Arabidopsis thaliana: one gene and its partners. The protein of the gene in region 2 interacts with the protein of the main gene of each other region in a pairwise test. Each region holds a gene or a part of one and is shown on either strand. Other genes may lie near its edges.

What was found.
Region 1: the proteins of AT1G80890 (region 2) and GRXC1 interact in a protein complementation assay, tested with the Arabidopsis thaliana proteins (one large-scale study listed by BioGRID).
Region 3: the proteins of AT1G80890 (region 2) and AT1G10090 interact in a protein complementation assay, tested with the Arabidopsis thaliana proteins (one large-scale study listed by BioGRID).
Region 4: the proteins of AT1G80890 (region 2) and AT4G30500 interact in a protein complementation assay, tested with the Arabidopsis thaliana proteins (one large-scale study listed by BioGRID).

What each region holds. Positions count from the first base shown.
Region 1 is NC_003076.8:25,283,496-25,288,535, forward strand, and holds GRXC1 (Thioredoxin superfamily protein), read left to right. Parts: upstream 1-2,681; 5' UTR 2,682-2,856; coding exon 2,857-2,960; intron 2,961-3,567; coding exon 3,568-3,656; intron 3,657-3,739; coding exon 3,740-3,838; intron 3,839-3,936; coding exon 3,937-4,022; 3' UTR 4,023-4,199; downstream 4,200-5,040. Other genes in the region: AT5G63020 (Disease resistance protein (CC-NBS-LRR class) family), read right to left, coding at 1-2,507; AT5G63040 (uncharacterized protein), read left to right, coding at 5,009-5,040. UniProt on the Arabidopsis thaliana protein: Has a glutathione-disulfide oxidoreductase activity in the presence of NADPH and glutathione reductase. Reduces low molecular weight disulfides and proteins.
Region 2 is NC_003070.9:30,395,066-30,399,549, forward strand, and holds AT1G80890 (GAG1At protein), read left to right. Parts: upstream 1-2,062; 5' UTR 2,063-2,145; coding exon 2,146-2,296; exon of another isoform or gene 2,297-2,718; coding exon 2,719-2,810; 3' UTR 2,811-3,145; downstream 3,146-4,484. Other genes in the region: AT1G80880 (Tetratricopeptide repeat (TPR)-like superfamily protein), read right to left, coding at 129-1,158, 1,264-1,856; MGT1 (magnesium transporter 1), read right to left, coding at 3,224-3,454, 3,541-3,588, 3,683-4,144, 4,215-4,484.
Region 3 is NC_003070.9:3,289,477-3,298,281, forward strand, and holds AT1G10090 (Early-responsive to dehydration stress protein (ERD4)), read right to left. Parts: upstream 6,723-8,805; 5' UTR 6,472-6,722; intron 5,905-6,471; 5' UTR 5,796-5,904; coding exon 5,515-5,795; intron 5,347-5,514; coding exon 5,200-5,346; intron 5,050-5,199; coding exon 4,986-5,049; intron 4,864-4,985; coding exon 4,654-4,863; intron 3,980-4,653; coding exon 3,794-3,979; intron 3,422-3,793; coding exon 3,123-3,421; intron 2,852-3,122; coding exon 2,575-2,851; intron 2,479-2,574; coding exon 2,203-2,478; intron 1,734-2,202; coding exon 1,500-1,733; intron 1,411-1,499; coding exon 1,096-1,410; 3' UTR 835-1,095; downstream 1-834. Other genes in the region: BCAT-2 (branched-chain amino acid transaminase 2), read left to right, coding at 27-143, 206-301, 380-492, 574-688; AT1G10095 (Protein prenylyltransferase superfamily protein), read right to left, coding at 8,002-8,121, 8,280-8,516. UniProt on the Arabidopsis thaliana protein: Acts as an osmosensitive calcium-permeable cation channel.
Region 4 is NC_003075.7:14,900,645-14,905,508, forward strand, and holds AT4G30500 (transmembrane protein (DUF788)), read left to right. Parts: upstream 1-2,706; 5' UTR 2,707-2,913; coding exon 2,914-2,997; intron 2,998-3,196; coding exon 3,197-3,390; intron 3,391-3,667; coding exon 3,668-3,752; intron 3,753-3,858; coding exon 3,859-3,924; intron 3,925-4,027; coding exon 4,028-4,120; 3' UTR 4,121-4,364; downstream 4,365-4,864. Other genes in the region: AT4G30490 (AFG1-like ATPase family protein), read right to left, coding at 64-150, 252-321, 398-520, 615-715, 827-906, 990-1,239; ATG18B (autophagy 18 B-like protein), read right to left, coding at 4,655-4,781.

The DNA of each region.
Region 1 (5,040 bases), on a different chromosome or scaffold from region 2:
TTGAGTGGAAGTTTTCTCAGCTCTGAGCATCCATTAACCAAAATTTTCTGTAAACAGGGAAATGGCAGGGGACCCCGGTGGATGTGTTTTAGCATCTGAACATTTTCTAGCCGCAACTCTTTTAGTTCTTGGAAGGGAATAAGGTTTTGCTGCTCAGCTTTCTCTTTGTTTATTACTTCTTTCAGGTCACTCGCTGAAATTACTCGTAGAACCGTAAGATTTGGAGCAAAGATCAGCCACGTCAAATCCCGCAATCTTGTGCAGAATTCTAAAGACACTTGCGAGAGGTTTGGGAAGAATGTGGTAGTGGTTGGGATGTGCAGAGGCAAAACCGTCTCATTCCTCTTTACCTTGATCTCCCAAATGTCAGAGTCTGCAAAATGAAGCTCTTGAAGACTGTCCATAGTAGCAACAAATGAGATTACAGATGATTGCGGATTAAGATTCTCGATGCGCAGAGCTCGTGTACAGCTTGCCAACCTCTGGTTGCTAAGGAATTGTTCCAAAATAGAAGCAAGACCAAGAGTTATGGTTAAAGTTTGCAAGTTTTCCAAAAGCTGCAACTCGTTCAAAACACAGGGATCTTCAGGGAAACCGGAAACAAATAATCTCAACACTTTCAAACTTGTTAAACCTGATATGCCACAGATACTCTCTACCATCCTTGTGTACTCCAAATTCAGGTATAAAAGTTTCCTCAACTCTACTAAACCAGCAGGCCAAATCCTTATCCTTGTACGTGATAAGCTCAGATACTGCAATGAGACACATTCTGATATTTCATTTGGCAAATGTCTGAGATCCCTGTTCATTGATAGATCAAGAACAACTAGCATTGGCATCAACCGAAAGAAGCTGCTTGAGATATGCCCCAAGAAGTTCTTTCGGAGGAGCAAAGTTATAAGTTGGGGAGATTCAGGAGCATCACGTATACTTTCAATGTTGTTAAACATCAATGACACCCTTCTCGCAACTTTCCACTTCTCGATCTCAGGTATGTTCCTCGACTGTAAGCCCGCTTGCACTATAAAGTTTTCTTTTTGCTTTCCAAAATCAGATGCTATCCACAATGCCATTTCTCGGACCACATCATGCATCTTCACCGTTTCTTGATTCTCCTCCATCAATAAGCATGAACGAACTAGAATACCGATAATTTCATAACCTTGGTTCTCAGCTTTACCTTTGTTTCTATCTATGAATCCCTCACCTATCCAGTAATCTACCAAATCATTTTTCTCAATGTTATGATCTTCTGGAAACAAAGCACAGTACTGGAAGCACAATTTGAGCTGTTCACTTTTTAAATTATCATAGCTGTACTTTAGAATAGGTAGAATCTCATCTTCCATACCTGAAAACTCAGCTGCAGATGAAGTCAAAACGTCGATTGCTGAACGCCATTCTTGCACTGTCCTTTTATATGCCATTGTTTCACCAATGACGTTAAGGGCCAATGGTAGGCCGCGACATTTCTTAGCAACTGTTCTTGCGACTGTGGGAATCTCAGGGTGGCTCCCTAATGTGATCTCTCCTACTTTCTTAGTAAACAAATCCCACGCATCATCCGGGGCTAAACACCGGACTTCCATATCGCTATCAACTCCCATCCGCCCGCAGATTTCTTTCAACCGAGTGGTGAATACTATTTTGCATCCGTTTTCTCTACTCGGAAACGGAACTCCCACCTCTGTTAAATCCACTTTACTCCATATGTCATCCAATAACAAGACAAACCTTTTGTGCTTTAACACATTGTAAATGTTAGATGCTTTTATGTCCTCTGTTTTCTGTTTCCACTTCTCGTTATCAGACCGTAACTTCTCCCATATCTCATCTTGGATCCTCTGGATCTGTAACTCTTTGGAGACCACAATCCAAATCACAATATCAAACTCGCCCCCAACTCTAGAGAATCTATTGTTGATATGACTGAGAAGTGTAGTTTTACCTACTCCACCCATACCATGAAGACCAAGAATCCCAATCTCATCTTCCATTAGACGGTTCCACGCACTCTCAAGCATTGGATCCATAGCAACCATAGGTCTAGTAGGCCTCTCTTCCACTCTTGCTGCATCAACTCTCTCAGCCACCACAGCGAAATCTCCCTGATATCGAAGAACCTCAACTTCCTCTATCATCTTCATTACTCTCTTCCCATAACGGTAGCTTGAGACAAGATTCTTGGAACAAAACCCACAAAGACACAACCTTTGGACTTGAACAGATCTCATTCTGACGAGTTCGTTAACTCGAGGTACTATTGCTTCAACTTTTGAAACCCATCCTTGCACAACAGAAAGTCGTTGTAAACCTCGTCTTTCTTCAGACAAAATCTTTCTCAACAAATCTTCTCGTCTTTGCTCAATCTGCTCAAGAGCTCTCTGCAGAGCTGTCAGATTCTCCTCTAAGCCATGAATGTAATCTCCATTCCTGTTTAAGCAACTACAAACATTCTTCGTCAACTGATCACATGATATTGATACAGAGACACAACCTCCCATCCTGCGTTTACACAAAAGAAGAAGTAAACTTGTGGCAGAGAACTAGAAGAAGAAAAAGGATAAGAGCTGCTGAGTTGTGAAAATTGACAATAATCCAAACTCTAAAGTCGTCGCTATTGTAAACTTTAAACAATATTCTGAAAAGAGAAATTTCTACGAAAAAAGACTAAAAGAGTATCATTTCAGAAAGATAACTTTTTTTCAACGCAAATAACTCTTTAATAAATATTGACTGAGGTTTGATTGAAAGAGATAAAAACTTCATTTGCCAGCAAGATTGGCACAAAACTCGAGCAGAGGACATCTGTAGGAGTTGTGTCGTGGTCGTCTTTGGTTAAGAGAAGAAGAAATGGGTTCAATGTTCAGTGGAAACCGAATGAGCAAGGAAGAGATGGAGGTGGTGGTGAACAAGGCTAAAGAGATCGTCTCTGCTTATCCCGTTGTTGTCTTCAGGTTTGTTCTCGTTGAAATCTCCCATCTTTTTCATCTGGGTATTACTCTTTTCGTTCGTGATTATGAATTTGTTGAGAAAATTGGATGTTGTTGCCTTGAGGGGTTTTGAATTAGTCAAAAAGTTTGAGTCTTTACCATCAGGGGGTAGAGTCTGCTTCTATTTGACGCAGAGGCACCAATGGATCATTGTCTGCTTGTTTTGTTGTTTCCATCTGTGAAATTAGGTCGTGAATGAAAGATCGAACATCATCTTATATTAGTGATTCTCCATCCAATTCAGAGATTATTTGTGGGTTCCCTAGACGATTAGGGATGTGATCATGTAATATATACTGATAGATCCAGTTCTCAAATTTGATTCTGACTAGTCTAGAAATCTTTGAAGAAGCTAGAGTTTTTGAAGATTGATCCGTGCAAGCTCCTATGACTGATTTGGGGATGCCTTTCGGAGTTTTGAAATGAAGCTTAATTTGTTGTTGCTTAGAGTCTTGAGTTTGATTTTGCTTAGTCTTAAAAGGAACGTATTTCTTTCCACTTTTTGAGATGGTCTAAAGGTTACTTTTCAAATGTAATGTCTTAGCTCTGATCCATATTTTCTCTTTCGCAGCAAGACATACTGTGGTTATTGCCAGAGGGTGAAGCAGTTACTGACGCAGCTAGGAGCAACTTTTAAAGTACTTGAGCTCGATGAAATGAGTATGAAACCAAATCCCTGTCAATACCTGTATATTAATATATCTCAATGAACCTGAATTATCTCGATGCTATGTTTACTTCAGGTGATGGAGGTGAGATCCAATCAGCTTTATCAGAGTGGACTGGACAGACCACAGTTCCAAACGTCTTCATCAAAGGAAACCACATCGGTGGATGCGATAGTAAGTGAAAAACCTACACAAATTCTCTGCACAATAATGGAAATTCGGGTTGCCGGAAAAACTAACTGCGTTTTTCGTGTTGCTTCTATATTTTGCAGGAGTGATGGAGACCAACAAGCAAGGCAAGCTTGTGCCTCTACTTACTGAAGCTGGGGCTATTGCAGATAACTCTTCTCAACTTTGATGAAACTCGAAACTAGTGTGTGAAGAGTGTGTGTTGTGTTTAGATCATGAAAAAAGAGGTATCGTCACATACTCAATAAAGAAAGATCATTCCCGTTGTTTAATACAGAATATCTAAGTGTATACTTTTCATGTTGGTGTTTCGGTTAATGGAATAAAACTTGAGAAATCTGCTCTAGTTTCTTGCTCTAAATTACTGAAGATTACTGGTTGCATCCCAAGTTGACTTTGTAGCAGGCCGGTCAAGTAGGTGGATTAAGGCTTTTGGTTGAACCAAACTTATCTAGTAACCGGCCGTGTAGGTGCCTTAAAGGCTGAAAAACTAATATTAGCCAAATCGATCAACGGAAAGTTACGATTGAAAGAGAAATGAATATTCGAACAGCAGAAGTGCATTTTCACTGATTTGTGTAATCCAAATTCGGATTCGAACAGCACAAGTACATTTTTCACTGATTTGTGTAATCCAAATTCGGAGAACCAATGTCCAATGGCAATGAATAATGTCAATTTGGTTAATCTAGATTTATTATAAAGTATAGTGCAAAATCGTAGTTTAAGAGAACTTGTGGGGTCAATTAGTAAATATTATCTAGAGCCGGTTAAAGAAGAGAAACTGAGGAAACTGAATTTGACCAGAGAGTGTGTTCAAGCGAAGCGTTGTAGAAGAAAAGACAAAGTTTTGGAATAAGCGGAGCAAAACCTAGACAGGCCCGTGTAAGATGGAGATTTGTTTTAAAGATTTATCAAATCAATAACTACTAACCTAAGCAAGTAACGAAGCCGTGGCTCTCACAAATTAGCCCAAATCCTCAAATTTCACCAAAAGTCTTCGAATTTATTCTCCAGTATCAGTTTCTCTGGGAAAAAGTTCTACTTTTGCGGACTCTGAGGAAATCTTTTGTATCTGTACACCATTCATGGGTTAATCCGATTAAACCCGTGTTGCTCCGTTAGGGTTTAAGAGAATTGCCGCCTTCACCGGCCATGGCTGCTAAACTTGTGTCCTCCTCGGCTTC
Region 2 (4,484 bases):
TGACGAAAAGATTACCTGGAAAACTGCACGGCGGATGTAGTGAAAGAGTGGAGACCGTGAGGTTTGAGAATTGAGTCATTATTTCAGTGATCGTTTGATGAGAAACTTCAAGTCTTACCCCTATCTGATTATTTTCTGTCTACTGATCGTTGACCCTTGTAGCCTTCCTGAGAACCAACTTTTTGAAGATTCATCCTCTTGCTTTTTCTGACCCCCTTCACCTTTTGCTCCTCAAGAAGTTTCTGGAGCATAGGATTTCCTACGAACCCCTTTGATTTCATCTCTGAATAGATCTCTCTGGCCTTTTCAAGCCACCCACATGACAAAAGGCCCTGTATTGTAGCCAAGTAAAGAGCAGGATTAGCCACTATCTCAAAACGATCCATTTCTGCCCAGATCTTCAAAGCATTTTCTGGTTGCTTTCCCTTGAACAATTTTCCAAGAATAAGAAGAAAGGTCTCTTCTGTAGGACCTAAATCAGAGATCTTCATTTGGCCTAAAACCTCTAAAGTTTTCTCGAAATTTACAGCCTCAAGGAATGCATGAAATGTATCAACTGTTGGACTAAGGTTCTCACTAATCATGGTTGCCAATACATTCCTGGCTACGTCCAGCTTTCCAGCCTCACAAAGGGGGCGTATCATCGAGTTGTAGGTCACTGAATCTGGCTTTAATCCTTCCTCGTTCAACTTTTTCATAAGCTTCATAGCTTCATCAAAGCAATCCTCACGGGTCAACACATAAACCAAGGAATTGTAAACTTCAATCCCTGGAGCCAATCCCCGTTTCTTCATTTCATCGTATAGCCTGAGAGAATCAAAAAGGTTCCCAACTTTAGAGAAGCAAGAGATCATGTGACTGTAAGAGTCCTTGTTAGGCGTGATACAGTAATTCCCCATCTCTCGCCAAATCCTCTTTGCTTCAGTCACATCAGTCCAAATGTTACACCAACCATTAAGAATTACGTTGAATCCCTCAACATCCACCGGAAAGAGCTTTTTGCTTGCAAGCATGAACTCTTCAGCTTTTTCAATGTGGCCATGTCTACACAATGCACATAGCAATCCTTGAAATGCTTCATCATAAGGAGTGTGTTTAAACTTATCCATAATATCAAATGTCCGAATAGCTTGGCTAGTATCATTAGCAGCAGCATATCTACATCAACACCGTCACCAAGACAACCAATTCAATACCTAGCTAGTAAATCTTTCAATTTAGCACAACAAAAGAGAAACTTTTATCAAGAAGACGAAACCGAACCTGTCCATCATGAGAAACATGGCCTTTCTAGTATCCTTTGAAACATTAAACATATCACGGATCAAACACCAAGCAATGTTGAACTTTTGATGATTACCCAACACCCAGATCATCAAATCACAAGATTTCTGATCATCACAGCCGCGTTTCTCTCCCCATTTGAATGCTAGAAAGGCAAGCCTCCATTCATCTCTTAATTCCCAGATTAAGGAGTAGAAAGAATCATGATTTAGATCAAATGATGAGTCCTCCAGAGAAGCCATGGCATCCGCCTCTGACTCCAGCTCAGAGACCTGTCTGATTAAATCAATCAGACCCTTTTCTAACGGAGCCAATGCTGTTAAGTTGATATCAAATGTTTCGGAGATGGTTTTGGTGGAGAAGCGATTAGAAGAGGCAAAATGTGGGAGATAGCTTAAAACTTGAGAATGCACATGACCTGCTCGATGAAATGCTGAAGAGAAGGAATGATTTTGGGAAACTGAGCTCGAAAACGACGTCGACACTGCACGACGTAGCAGAGATTGATGCTGAACAATCCGCCATTGTGGCGTTCGCGCGAGTTTCCTACCAATGGCAACGATCGCGGCCATAGCGAGTGAGTGAGAAGGCTTAAATTAATACATTTCAAACATGGTCTTAATGGGATGAGGATATGAAGTTAATGGGGTCAAAAACGAATATATAGATAATATGGGGTCTAATATGGTAATAAACAAAGTAACACTAATATGAATGGGCCTAAATAGGGCCCATTTTAGATTTCTTTAAAAGATCCGAGAGAGAGAGGGATCTAATTCCTGATAAACCCTAGAAGAAGAAGAAGAAGAAGAAGAAGAAGAAGAAGAAGAAGAAGAAGAAGCAAAACCTGTGGAGATCGAGATGGGAAATGAGAGCAAGAGCAATTTGGGAGGAGGAGGAATTAGGGCAAAGATGGAGCACTATGTCTACAGTGGGGAGAAGAAGCACGTTTTGGCTGGGATCGGGATTATCTCCATCATCTTCGGAATCCCTTGGTATCTAATGAATCAAGGTTCGTTTTCTCTGGGCGATTTAGATTGAAATATATAAATAGATGTTTCTCTGTAGATTCCGAAATGGAAGAGGATGATGATATCAATAGCTGAAAGATTTAGAATCTAAAGTTTCTAACTTTATATTTCTTGGCAAATGCAATCAAGTGGTCGATCAAATAGAGTTTGATTATATGATAATGATGAGTCACAATGTTTATTCTGTTTGGATCATAATAGACTTGCATGATCACATTTTTTACCAAGTTTGTTTGCTTTTTCCCCTGATGATCACACATCGATTCAATTGCATAATCTCAATGGTTAAATATCTTATTTGCTATATGTGACATTTGGTAATATTCTCCTTGTTTTGTTCATTATATAGGCTAATTGTTTCTCTTATTGGCTTTTGTTGTTTGGTAAATCTGGTTTGTTTCAGGATCAAAGCATCGTTCTCACCAAGATTACTTGGAAAAAGCTGATAAAGCTCGAAAAGCTCGTCTCTCATCATCTTCATCCTCGGATAAGTAGTCATCTCCCCCCACTTGGATGGAGACTCTAGTCAACTACATTTTGTGAATGGATCCATACATCATCGTTTCCATGTCTATAAACTCAGCCATGTCTGTTCTAGAGTGTGGTTCAGTTCAGATATGTATCTTTACACTCTACACTTAGGTTTCTTTATCGAAGATATGTAAATTTGCGATAAGTTAAAGGATTCATCCTTTACGATACTGTTGTGTGAGCTGTGAGTTTCGACTAGGACAATCCATAAAGTGAAAGATCAAGATGAGTCTGGTATGGTTTGCTTAATAATCTTTCAGTAACCCAAAAAAAAAATACACGGGGTTTTATCTTGTAAAGGTCACAGGCGATTAATGTATAGATTTAAGCAACATAAACAGTAAAACAATCGTCTACGTGTCAGGGTAGTTATGTCTTCACAGAGGCATGAGTCTTCTACGTTTGTAGTACCAGAGGAATGCCAAAAATACAACAAGGCCACACACTCCAGTAATGGCTAAAACCCATTTGAAAGCACCAGGCTTTTCAAAGAAGTCTATCTCAAAATTCATCCCAAAGATCCCGGCTACAACCCCGAAGATGGCTACAACGAATGTGGCAGTAGTTAGCAGCAGCTCGAATTGGATCAGCTGATTCCGTACGTTATCCTGCAAATTCCAGAAATTTTCAGCAGATTCTTAAGGTTTTCTAAGCAAATAAGATATCTAAAAAAGATCAAGATTTCAAGGTATACCAATTGAATGTTGATGAAATCTTCGGTATCATCGATGTACTCCTTTAACTGAAGAGTAAAGAGAGTTGCAGGTGATTAAACCGCTTTTAAAAGCTGTTAAAACAAGATGATGAATGATCACAAAGGCGAGGTTTTTAGTTACCGAGGTTAGCTTGTTGAGAGTGCTGTCAATGACAACAAAGTATGCTTCCAGCAACATCTCTAGCTCCTCTATATTCTCGGTTGCGTCTTCTGAGCTCCTAGCACTGTCATGCCGGCTCCTTACAATGCTCAAGCTTTTCTCAAGTCTACGGGACTCAGGAGGAGAAGAAACAGGAGAAACTGGCGCAGACAGAGAAAAACAATCATTTGTTCGATAAACAGGTAAAGATTGATCACCATATAAAGATCCTTCCATTCTCTTCTTCTTCTCTGTTAGATACATTTCTGCCATATCCCCATCATCGTCCATTAGCTGTTCAATCTCATCCCGAACCTTCTGAACTCGTCTCGTCAATGCTACAAGTCTGCTCTTTAGTCTACGAGCACGCTCCAAGTTTAGAGTACTGATCTTTGAGGTAAGCTCATCCAATAATGGGTATGCCTCAATCTCTAACTCTGAAGCCTACAAAGGGAAAATCTATTCTCAATGCTGAGCATACTAAATAACAATAAGTTGTGAATCAATCACTGACCTGGGAATCAAGGAAGGTACAAGCAGCTTCAAGTGCAACTTCAAGAGCCCTGAACTCGAAAGGTAAATAATCAGGGGATGAGTTCTGAAGCACATTGTCTAAACTCCTACTCCTCCTCCTGCTCAATTCGAGACTGTCCTGATTCCAAACCTCAGTAACAGAACTTGCCTTTAGTCTCTGCTGCAGCTCAACAACATAGCGAAGCACATAGTTGTCAAGGGAATTCAAGAGCAAAACCTCATCCGCAGTAATAATACAACGGATCTGCTC
Region 3 (8,805 bases), about 27 Mb from region 2:
AGTTTTGATAAACCACGTGTTTGTAGGTTTTGAAAGCACTGAGCAGAGCCAAGAGTCGGGGGTTTTCAGACGTTCTTTATCTCGACTCTGTCAAGAAGAAGTACTTAGAGGAGGCTTCTTCTTGCAACGTCTTTGTTGTCAAGGTAAGATATATTGTGGTGTCTCCATGTCTCTTTGTTGCATCCTAATTGTATCATTGATTCAGGGTCGGACAATCTCAACTCCTGCAACTAATGGAACAATTCTTGAAGGGATTACGCGGAAAAGTGTGATGGAGATCGCAAGTGATCAAGGTTATCAGGTAACACAGATAAGATTGAATCACTCTAAACACCCAAAAACTAAACTCAGCTAAGTTTCACACCTGAGTTATGATCAGGTAGTAGAGAAGGCAGTTCATGTGGATGAAGTAATGGATGCAGATGAAGTTTTTTGCACCGGAACTGCTGTAGTAGTTGCTCCCGTGGGCACTATCACATATCAGGAAAAAAGGTAAATCTCAATGCCTGAATCAAGTTTTACTCAAGCCTTAAGCAAAGAAATGGACTGATGTAATCTTTCTGAAACATTCAGAGTAGAGTATAAAACCGGGGATGAATCTGTCTGCCAGAAACTGCGTTCAGTCCTCGTAGGTATCCAGACAGGATTGATTGAAGATAACAAGGGATGGGTCACAGATATCAACTGAAGAATAACAATCTTCAATATTTTGCCACAAAGGAGATTACTCTGCATTTTAAGCTGTGTATACACGACAATGAAGAACACTATAAACATATATATGAGATAGAAACAGAAAGCTCTTTTGCTCATTTCTATATCGTAAAGTCAATGTCTTTCACAAAACTATGACAAAGAAAAGAATCGTCTATTGTACTTGTAGACAAGTGTTTCCAAGGATAGTTTCATTTCCTCCTGCAGTAACTCCAAATTTACATTTCATTTTAGGAGGCAAAACTGTATATACGTTTCAATGGCTTTCCCCACTTCTTACTTTCATCACCCATAAGGGTTTCAACTACTAAAATTGTAACTCAACTGCAAAAACACCTTTTCATCTGCAGAGTTATAAAGTATACATTGTAACTCAAGTATCTATGTTCGTTTGTAGATCTCGGCAAACCCTGGGGAATTACGAATTGGGGAAGCACTGGGACAGGATTTCACCTCAAGATCAAGACCAGATTTACTTCTCTGGAACTCCCATATGTAATCAGCTTTAAGATTCTCTTTCTCAGGCTTCAACTCTTCAGAATCTGGTAACTCCTGATCTGAGCAAGGAGAAGTGCAACCAGCTTTGCTGGATTCTTCAGAACACGTTGGTATCTGAGAGTATGCAACTTTCAAGTTGTTATGTATCTCTTCCATCTTTCCTGTCATCTCATCTGCTCTGTCCATAGCGATAAGAATCTGAAAGAAACTCATACATCAATATCTCTCAGGAGATGCAAATCGAGGTTATGAAAAGATGAGTAATATATATATATATGTATATATACCTCGGCTGGATATTTCTGGAATATGGGCGCAAACCTTTGCCGGCAATACTCACTAAATAGAAGAGTGAGAAGGATTAACGGGATGGTGAAACCTGAAGCAACCGTTGATAGCTTTAACCCGAAAAAGCCTAGAGCTATAACTTGCGACAAGATCAGTGAAAAGATTGTAGTGTTGTGAAAAACAGGCCAATATTGTCCACCGCTTTCATACTTTGTAATATAGACGTTGATTATCTGCAAAAAAAAAAAAAAAGACAAACTTAGTCAGATCCAAATAATTGTACTTCAAACTCACAGACTTGTCTACCTATGGCACCACTATTAGTCGATTAGCACAAATACATTAATCATATTTCCAGAAGCAAGCACTCAACGAATGCAGGGACAATCAGACAACACCTTATGCAGTTCTCAAAGTTATAAGGTAAAGCTTCAGATAGATCATGAGAACAGCTGGTAACTTAATGCAAGGTCTCGACGACAATGTTTCAGTACAGAGTTCTTGGAATTTAGTTACAAATCTTTCAAGAAAATAAAATAATACTCTTTCATGCTTCTGAATCAGGTTTCATATCAAATTGTGAAAAAGTCCAAAAACATTTGATCATGGATATAGGTGTCTATGTCACAATTTCTTGAAGTGCTTATTGGCAACTACAAAATGAGGTCTATGTAGAAGAGATCAGAGCAGATATGCACGTACCTGATTTTTGTATATAAGATATGCGAAGAAAAAGTAGATCAGCAGAAACGGCAGTATCAGAGGCGCTATGACTGAATTGGTGAAACCCAGGAGCCCGAACAAAAGTAGTCTTGGAATTTCTGTATGGTAGGGAAACCTAAGTGTTTCATATGACTCCTCCTTGTTCTTAACAATAACTTTTGCAATCAGATTCCAAATAAGACCTACAGGTTGCATGATTTCACATGCCAAACCGGCCCAACCAGACGTGAAACAATAGGTCATGAAGAAGCCAGCCTGCATGTAGTCAATGAATAATTTCATACCGTTAGCCTTATAGAAAATAACAAAATTGAATATAGTCACACGTGTGAAAGGAACACTGAAAATTACCTGTGCTGGAACAAGTTTCGCAAGTTGTGCAGGTACGTCCCTCACACTATTCAAGACGGTAAACTGCCTGATAACAGAGCCTGATAGAATATTGACGAAGAACACATTCCAGATGGTGAAGTATAAAATTTTGAGACATGCACTTTTTTTTCTTTGACTCCGAGAAACACATCCCTCCAAGGTTGAAAAGTACATCATCAATGGCGGAACGGTATAAAAGAATAGAACCAAAATCACACTTGGTAAATACCCTGTGATGACCTGCTCCATAAACCTCCTGCAATGTTTTTCAAAGGGATAATTAAATTGAAAGGAAATGAAAAGAAATCAATTACACAGAATTTAATTGTTCTCAGTTTTTTACTGCGCTTAAATCTAGAAAAATCTAGCATAAATATATCAACTGCCTAGCAGCCTCCGACTATACGCATCTTGAAATTCTCTAAAAGCAACGTAGCTACACCTACTCTTTAGTGCCAACTCTATGTCATCTTAAGAAGAATACGAACAAAACCTTCTATTACTGAGTACAAGAAGGAAATGCTGACCTGTTCAAGAGGTCTTTTAGAAAAGGAAAATTCTTGGATAACGTTGGTAGTTGAGTCAGCCCTTGAACAAAGGTAACAGGAAAAAGAAACACAAACATGAAGGCAATTGCACCAACAAGGGTTGCTATTCTTCGCATCCAAAGCTGCCGATAAGGTATTCTGAGATTTCTCCAGTGAACATCATGAGGCTCTGGAGCCAAGTCTGCCACCCATAACATAGGATTTGGTGTTTGAAGAACTTCTGAAACAACAAGAGCATCATAACGACTCTTGAAAAACACAAAAGCAACGGGACGTTCCTGCAAATGAGCAGAAAAGTGTAAGCCTTGCATACATATTTCAGGCGCTGATACTTCATTAAGCAATGTTTACAAATGCAGTCATGAATGGAGATATATTCCTTTTAGATCTAGCTTTTAAAGGTTTTAAACAAAAAGCTCTTTGTATCACTAATTCAAGGTCCATTAACGTCTCATTGTAGTATTTTTTGGGTTCCCCTAAGTCTCAGTGTTACCTCTAAAGCTCAATTTGTATCTCAGTAAAGAACAAAAGAGTCAATTCTCCAGTTTCAGCTGTAAAACTGTGAAGACATGCAACAGGTAAAACCCCACACTATGCCTATATCATGTACAGCACAAAGTTCACCTATCAAAGTGAAAATAATTCCTTACTTCCTCTGTCGTAGTCAAAGTCAACTCACCAAGCTCCAATCCTTTGACACTGTCTGTCTCGTTCGAGATGATTTGAAAAGAATTTGTGGCTGCAGGTCCACAAAGGACGCATGACTTCAAACTCGGATTACAACTTAAATCAGGAGAAACATGTTTTATAGCCTGACACATCCTCTCCGTCTCATTCTAAAATAGAAAGTGACACAATTAATATTAGAATCTAATTAACTCAATTGTTCTCCAAAATAGACCACTGCACTTCAACTATATGTTATCATGAGCACACACCATCCACTAGTTGTTTACCAAAGATATTGCCATTCAAAATGCTGATCAGATAACCAAAGCAAAAAACTGATGTAATATCAAAAGAACCTCAATATCAGATAACATGAACTACAAATAAAAGCGTTACAAATGAGCCAAAAACAAAATCAGTACTCCAAGAATGTGGATCAATCATATAATCCCCTTAGAACTTCCTATATCTTTAACTGATACATGACTATCAATCAAATCTTTACAACAAAGTTACTGTTCTGTTATTTCATCAATCTTTGATGCCCTTGGCAAATGAAGAAGCATTTATGACAGAACACAGGGGAAGTGTTATGGTGAACATTTTATAAAGAAAGAAGAAACATGTAAAGTGTGAAAAGTGTTAAATCACATTCCGGAACATAGAGCTATCACAGCTTCCTTTTTCTATTCTAGGAGATTCCTATTCTGCTAAGGTCAACCAAGCAGAGCGGCAGTGGTGTTAGCTGAAAAATTTATTCCTAATCCGACAAAATCATAACAAAAAGACAAGTGACTGATAATCAAGTCAGCATGTTGCAAAAATAAATAAAAACACATACCATCAGTCTGTGAATGAAGCCATCACGGTAGACCATTAGGTGCGACACATAGCTTGGTGCATAGTAATTTGTAAAGTATTTGCTCACTGTCTCGCTGTAGGACTGGTCAGGAGACTGAGGAATAGCACGAATAAGAACAGTAAAATGACTTGGCTTTGAGGCAGATCCACTAATATGGGCAAGCCTCTTTTTGGCTATGTTCTTATACTCCTACAGTGGTGAAACACGTATAAACAGGGTGAGAGAGAGAGACGAGAGACCAAAACGATGAGGAAGTGATGGAATAAAGAGAAACAGTAAGCGTGAAATGAACCAAGGTATAAGATCCTCACAAAGTAAAGAAGAGCACATGCTGCAGAGGATATGATGTACAATGAGAGACAATGAACCCAGAGCCTGGAAATAAAAATAGTAAAACAAGGATCAGCACTTCATTGTACAAAATACTGGCAATCTATCTTCTCCTGCACAGAGAAACATAATCAGATAGAAAAACAGGCTATGCATATTATCTGATAATATTAATATTATATGCCGCCACTTTACCATCGTGAGCGTGGATTAAGGTTCTCAATTGTGAATACTCCCAATGACTCCAAATGGACTTCCTTGTGCTCCATCTTTTGTCCATAATAGTTAACAGGTAACACAAAGGCAAGGCAAACGACTGCGACGATTGAGAAAATACGAATGCTGCAGAGTTTAAAAAAAACACGATAACCCAACTGTGAGAGTTGTTAAGAACGAAACACACAAATACCACATAGAAATAAAACAAGTGCTGGAACATAGAAACAGTAGAAAATACCATGCTTGTCTATTCAATTACAGTAAGCATGTTATAGGTGAAGTATCATTAACCTGCAAATGACCATCCTGATGAAAACCACAGCATCCAGACCAGCAGCAGCCAACATCTCTTCCTCAGTGGTTTCCCAAGCTTTCACGAGCCAACTAGGAGAGGGCGCGAACCTCTCATACCAACGAGGATCATGACGTTTAACTCTTCCGTCAGAAAGCAATCGACCAAAGTAAACACAATAATTGGCTGGCTGCTTTCGTAGAATGGAATAAAGCGATACAAGCACTACGCATATCGCTATATTAATCCCAGCAGACGTTAAAAGTGCTGAGACATCCATCTCACTATCTCACTTTTAGTTCAAACCCTGCCTTAACAGGGTTGGCTAATCAAGCCCAGGCTGATGGCTGTTTAACAATTCACAGCAGAAACTTAGGTCGTCAAAAGATCTGTAAGGAAAAGCAAGAAATAATCTAGGATAAGAGATATGGCCATGAAGCATGTGGTAACATTGAAACATGAATTGTGGTTACTCTAACAAGTAAGGACTGATCTCAAAAGTTGCATAAGTAACGTACTTGCCACTTGATCAGTTGTAAAACAGCGATTACTTAGACAAGGGATGAAAAAACTAAAAACCTAAAACTTTCCATGTTCGGAACAACCAAAGATACGGGATCAAAATATAATCAACTCTTAAAAGTTGTGGCTGATGATAAGATAATGTAACTCAATCGTCATTTATGATTGAACTAAAACGACCCACGATTCCATAGAACCTAAGAAAACCAGAACACCAAAAACAGAGGAATCAAAGGATTTGATTCGCGAAGAGAACTCACTACGACAATGGAAACAAGAAAGCGAGCGAAACCAAAGCCCAGATTATGAAATTCGATCAAAATCGAAGAGGAGATTGAGGAGAATCAACAAACAACGAGATCGTAGATAATTCGAACAAAAAATTTACCCACAAAAGAAAAGACAAAACAATAATTTGAACAATTCTGACTTACATGGACGAGAAAAGGTAATGCTTTGCTTTGACTTGAAAGGAATCAAAGCACGAGAAAACCCGAAGAATCAAAAACCCTAAAAGTTCTTCCTTTTAACCCCAATTCCGCGGAGAATTCGCTCGCGTTCTAAACTTTGCAATATGCAAAAAATCCAACAAAATTAAAGAAAGATAATGATTGATTAGGTATACTGTATACACATTACATGTTATTATTTTGGTGAGGATATTTCTCTAGACGGAAAGATAACTGAAAAAAATCATTGGGCAAAATTCTCCACGTTGGTGTAAATGTGGAATCGCCAGATCATGTGACGTGGCATAACGTGAATGGCCCAAACTAATATCTCGTCGGCAAAGGTCTTTTTAGCCTGTGATAGTGACTACCTTGTCGGCGAAATTATGACCGTTAGATTTTTGTAAAGCGATACGATTGTGACACGTGGAATTAACATTGACAGTTAACAACAGTTTTTGCCCGGGAAAATTAAAAAAGGTCGCATATCTATTATCCGCGTGGTGAGAGTGTGAGACCTACCCCATAACAAGGACCGGTCATATTAAATTATGCCCATTTGACTATTCATTCTCTTTATTATGTATGACTATATAATAACTCGATTCTCTTTATTAGGTGTGACTATGAATTATGATACATGCTTTATGATGCGGTATGCATATAACTGGTTTAGCATCTTTACATAATTATCGGTTTGATATTCCCAACGGTCAGTATCTTTATTCAAAGCTCATAAGAAATAGGTAAAAGAGTGATAGGTTTCCTCTTTCCAGTTTATTTGTGAGATTACTTGCTTATAAAGCAAATAAGCCTCTCTGTATATTCATCAACAAGGACTAGTCTGCAATCACAAGTAAAAACAACGCTGCTCGAGGACGGAATCGCTGCCCCACGATGTGGTAGAGTGCATCCTAGAGAGACTTGCTGTGGATTCTCTGCTGAGATTCAAAGGCCGTGTCTAAACAATGGAAATCAATTATCGAATCTCCATTCTTCCAACAAAGACAGTTGACAGAGCGTCAGCAATCAGGTGATCCAGATGTTCTCATGGTCTCCATATGGCGTTCCCTTTGATAGCTGTGACGGTCTCGTTTGTCTCATGGTCTCCATATGGCGTGACGATTATTGTAAACCGGATATAAAACATCTAACTACACTGGTGTTGGGTTCCTCATCATCGGTCAAGATCCCTACTCCTTGGGAGAAGGCGAAGGAGGACACAATATACTTAGTTCCCTTTGATAGCTGTGACGGTCTCGTTTGTCTCTACGGAATACGACATATCTGGTTTTGGAAGCTTATATAACCTTCATTCATTTTTTTAATAGGTTTGGTTACACCACTCGAAGACTCGTGTAACACTTGATGACAGAGATTTCTCGGCCAACTTCTTCATTAATCAACTCATTAAGCTATATCGGCGAAAATAGAAAAAAAAAAAAAAAAAAAAAAAAAAAAAAACAATTCAAACAGATCCTGAGACATGGTTTGACACCAATTTATGGAGGGTCTTCAGACATTCACCAAATGATGCAGAAGCGAGGGTCTCTCTTGAGCAATTGTGTTCAGTACACACTTCACTTTCTCTGTTCCAAGCTTCTCCTCGAGCATTCTCCACAGTACTGGAATGCTCTGCTTATAAACGAATGCATATCAGAAATCAAAGTCAACCATATTTCTATCGTTCTGCTATACGGAAAACTCCCAATCTATTTTTCTGCACTTGTGAGATTGACAATAGTGGCAATTTTTTTGATGACTTTATTTGGACAAGAAGAGACCACTGTTACCTTTGTCAGCCATAGCGTGTAGACAGCAGCATGCAATGCTTGAGCTTGAAAATCTTCAAATTTGGTATCCGGAACGGTCATAGAAGAATCTAGAAGACGGATCTCATTATCAATGAAGATGGCAATTTCTTCATTCATAATAATACTCTCTCCGGTTTCAGGTGAAGCATCTGAATGATTGCAAGCGAAATACATTATCCAATTAAGAGAGAGGAACCGCCGGTGAAGCCATAGTGCCTGGAAGAAAAAAGTATAACAACTCAAATAAGTCACTAATTCAATCATCTCTGTATTAGCATGACAACAAACTGTTTAACTATCTTTGTTGTCCAAACCACTGTCGCCATGATAGCTTACCAAGAGAGAAATTATGTACTTTTTGCAAAATCCAACTTGGTTGTTTCTTTAATAGGGCAGTTTACAAAATTCAACTTGGTCAAACTCTTCTACCGGTCATGCGCATTGTAGAATATTTTAGACTTTTAGTACCTTTTACAACAATACAACACAGCTATCGGTGCTAGAT
Region 4 (4,864 bases), on a different chromosome or scaffold from region 2:
AAGATGTGTTGATCCAAAGATGATCACTTTCAAGAAAATAAATATATGAAATAGTGTACATACCATGAACTCATCTAGACATAGTAAGATTGCATCATGAGCTATCTCTTGGGCAACAACTTCAAGTGGATCTGATAAACCCTTGTGCTTCTGCAAACATTATGAACCGAAATCAAACAACGTATCTCAAAAGGCTAAAGCTTTTCCTACTAAAATCAATAGAGAAACAATGGAAACTCAATTATCCATACTTGCAAGCGGCTATGAACACTCAACATGAAATCATGGAAATGTATCCTCTGCTTCTTCCAAGTACAAGGCCTAATGAAACAAGAGAATTGTCATGAAACCGCAATGCTCGAAAAAAAAGGATAAGAATTTGATCATACAAACTTACAGTTGATCAAAGAATAAGTCCATCAACATGGTTTTTCCTGTACCTACACCTCCATAAAGGTATAATCCTTTGACGGGTGAGTAAGAAGTCTGTGGCATGAGCCGAGACCAAAACCAACGACTTCTGTATTACACAAAAACACAGTTGTGTGAGACTCAAGTTCTCAATCCTAAACAGAGAAGGAAAGGTGTCAAGGCTAAGAGAACAGAACAATCACCTTGAGGATTTATCAGAAGTATTATACCGATCTAAACGACATGTATCTACTGAATCCACAAGCTCATCATATAGTCTCTGAAGCTCTCTCAATGCACTAATCTACAACATTTCAAACACAACCTTAAGCCGCAAGTAACACGAATCACATTTAATCTTATAGCTCAAAAGCTTCAATGAAGTAAAAAAGAGTGGCTATTATTTTTATCATACTTGGCAGATATCACCAGTCATGAGTTCACCATTACTGATTCTTCTCTCATACTCAACAAGAGGACCTGTTCTATTCACATCTGTCATCATTCAACAAATATCAGCAAACCAATAAACACGAACTCTGAGATTGATAGAATTTCTTTGCAAAGAGAAACAAAACCTGAGACGGTGACCCTAGTAGTAGCAGGATCAGCTGCTTCTACTGCTTCTGCTGATAAGCCTCTAAAGATACTTGACCTTGAATACAAACTTGAATTATCAGTGTTTGTATTCAGCAGAGCTTGATTTTGATTGACACCGATCAAAAGTTTGCGGCTTTTGGAGTAGAAAGTTGAAGAATAACGTTCTTGATTGTTCCTTAGAGCCCATCTAATTCTACTGAGAGATGATAACCTAATGATTGGTCTCATCTACGATCAATGCAAATTCAATTCAGCAGCTGAAACTTTGAGATACGGAAACAGAGCAAGAACAATAACCCAAGAAGAAAAACAGAATCTTTGTATGAGAGAAATCGGATCCGGATAAGAATTAGAGCACAAGAGGAAAAAGTGAATGAGAATATTGAAAAGTTAAGTTTGATGTTTATATGTAATGACGATGATAAATCTGGATAAGAGAGATAGAGAGAGACCCAAGAATAAACGGAGATGTAGTCAAATAAGGAAGATAGAGAAGAAGATCTTTAACTGTTAAACTCTTAAAACAGAGAGATAGAGGCGTGATTAATGAGTTATTTATCAACTAAGACACGTTTTTTATTTTTTTATTTTTATATACTTTCAATTTTTTAACCAAAATTGATTGTGTTGTACTTCTAATTACATTTGTTAATGTTGATTGCATAGTTGTTTTCCAGGTCATTAGAGGATTGTATTTGTCCCTTATTTAAGAGAGTTGACTATTTTTATTCCTATGAAAAAAGTAATTTCTTGATATATCTTTACCCTAATGATGTCTACAAGTCAAATTACAAATTTTATAAACAATTTTTAACATTTGTAATTATAGTATAGAATATTGGAAACGGAAGCTTCTCGATGTTGCGTTTGCGTACAGGATACTGGTGGACCTAGCGAATGTGTCCCATACATAGGCTAAGCATATTCCAAGTGGGAGAGAGATACGTGAATCAGACATGGTCCTTAAAGATGATCCAACGGTCTATAATTTTTCTAGTTTTGTTCTCAATGGGTAAGTTGAACAATGGACCTTAATGATGACATGTTGCATTGCGTATGATTCCACGTGTCCACGTCATTTCTTACACTGCAAACATGTCTTTTTCTGACCAACCCCTAACGCTACTTTTCTTTGATACATCTTTGTTTTTGCTATAATGGTGCTTGTTGACAAAATAATACTATGTTGAATTGACCTAAAACCATACTCAGATTGGGATATCCGAGAACCATTGTGTAAGACGTGATGTTTGATCCAAATATGGGCTACACTCAAATATTGGATATAGGCCCACAAGATATGATATCTTCATTTTTTTTTGTCTATAGAACAACATAAAACAGGGAAAAAAATTTACACTACTTTTGTTCTTGTTCCGTTATAAATATCGTTTTACCGATTGATCATAGAAATGGTATACTTTTTAGTTTTTGGAACAGCGGTAAAAGGTTTTATGTTGATGTCTTCTCCGAGCGCCGGTGATTTTCACACAGACCTTGTTATTGGAAAACTGAAATAATGCAGTTTTCTGTTGATAGGCCTTAAGATGTCAGATTTTATGGGCCTTTTAGGTTGTTCTGGCCCATTTAGATAGAACTGTTTCAGTTTTCCAACAACAACTGATAAGGATAGACGAAAGCCCAAATTAAGAATCTTTGTCCTAAACCCAAGGAAAAGCGTAATTACGACACGCAGCCAAACAAAACATTTCCTGCGTGAAAAAAGTATTTGAGAAAAGAGGACGACAAAAAGGTACAGGTGTCAATATATAATTGGATTAAACAAGCTTAGACACCTAAAAGTTTTCTCTCACACCATTTGTGAAGATCCAAAGCAAAAGAAGAATTACAGAAACTGAAAAAACTATCTTCCTCGTCTCTTTGATCATTCTCTTTTAACTCATGGCGAATCAAGGAGCAAAGAAGAGGAAAGATGAGAACGCTCGACACATGGCTAAGCTCCGTCTCATTATGATCCTTTGCAACGTAACTTCCTCGTTCCTCATTTCTTAAATTCTCAATACATTAATCCGTTGAGCTTAGATTTGTTTAGATACGTTACTTGTATCAATATGGAACTAAAAATCCGTTGAATTTGATCTTTAGGTCTCGAAAGTTTCAATGTTTAGCTGATTTTGTTTCGATGAATTCGAGGATTGATGTTTTTGGCAATATGTGTTTGCAGATTTTGTATGTCCTAGTGAGGGTTATAATTTCGCATTCAAGTCATACCTGGAAAAATTGGATTGGTCTTGTGTTAACATCGTTAGGTTACGGGATTCCATATAAGCTTCTTCATCAAATGGCAAAGCCTAGTGTTAGTGATGCTGGTGAACTTCTTGATGGTGGATTTGACATGAGCACTCCTGGAATGTGTGGGTACGTTCGGAAAGATTTGTCTTTTAAATTGATCAACTAGAAAGTGCCTGCTTTTGTCTCAAGTGTTTCTGTATAGTTGGATTCTGTTTCCATAACCAAAAGCAATAGTAGGAGGACTGTTTCATTATCAGTTGTTTGAAATGAGTGATGTTTTACTAGTTGTGGCTTTCTCCGAGTTTTATCGTTTATCAGTTGCTACATAATCGTCATCTTTATGGTGGATTGGATTTATGGTAGATTCTATAGTATAAGCCTGATGCTCTATTCTTCCTTGCAGATATTTGCATGATGTACTCTACATCACCTGCTTTGTGCAGGTCGGATCTATCATCTCTGGAAAGTTTTGGTACGCGTATTTAGTGGTATGATACCCATCTCAATTTTCTTTATTGCCATATTTTAAGGCAAACAACAGATTTGCTCTGTAGGAATGATGCAACCATTTACTTTTGCTTGTTTTTATTTTAGATCCCTGCATTTGGAGCATACAAAGCTTCTGGTCTTATTAAGGGACTATTGTCACATGGTTCAGAGGTAATCACTTTGTCTTGAATACTCTCAAAGTGCTTTGAACAAGGGGGAAATAAAACATGATCATTTAAAATGGACTGTGTTTTGTCTATATGACTGAACTTAGGGAGGTGTTGAGGATGAGAAGACTCGCAAAAAGAGGGAGAAGATGGAGAGAAAAGCTTCTAGAGGACAAGTCGTTAAGACAAGATCTCGATGAATGTCTTAAACATTCATCTTTAGCAAACACAATTAGCAAATCTTTCTTCAAACATACAAAATGCAAATCAATGGGTAAATACTCTTGACTTTGTAATGTACCTGTCTTTACACTATTTTGACTTAATGGATGTGTTAAGATGAAGTAGACTAATAGTCTTGAGTAGGATACAGTGAATTCTCATAAGATAAAAGACTTTTGCTCTTTGGATTATGATGATGTTATGACTTGTGAGCCATTAGACCGACAAATGATCCTGACTTGAAAATTCTGATTCATAGCTAAAGAGCCTTGACTGTAACTATGGAGTAAGTGGGATATGATGGAAAGAGTTGGGAAACCATTTTGTATTTCATTTCTTCAACACAAATCAAGATTAAGATACAGTAATAGCACGGAAGAGCTAATTATATTTGCGAATAACCAAAGAACATGAGACTATAAACATATTCTTAATGAACCCAAGGTACAAAAATTGTTACATACAAAAAAGTTGCCCAGTACTTTCATATATTTGATATTTGGTTGTATACATCACCCGGTGGTTATGGAGAAGAGATTGAATTCACGTTCCAGTGTCCATAGAGACTCATTCTTGTTATTGATACTTAGCGTATACTCCTGGAAATATCCGTTATAAGTGATCACCGATACCGTTGCTCTGAAAAGAACGTGAAAGGTAAAAGATTATCAAAACTTGTCATGTAACCATGGTTTCAAAATGAAGATATCCTAAAATCTTAC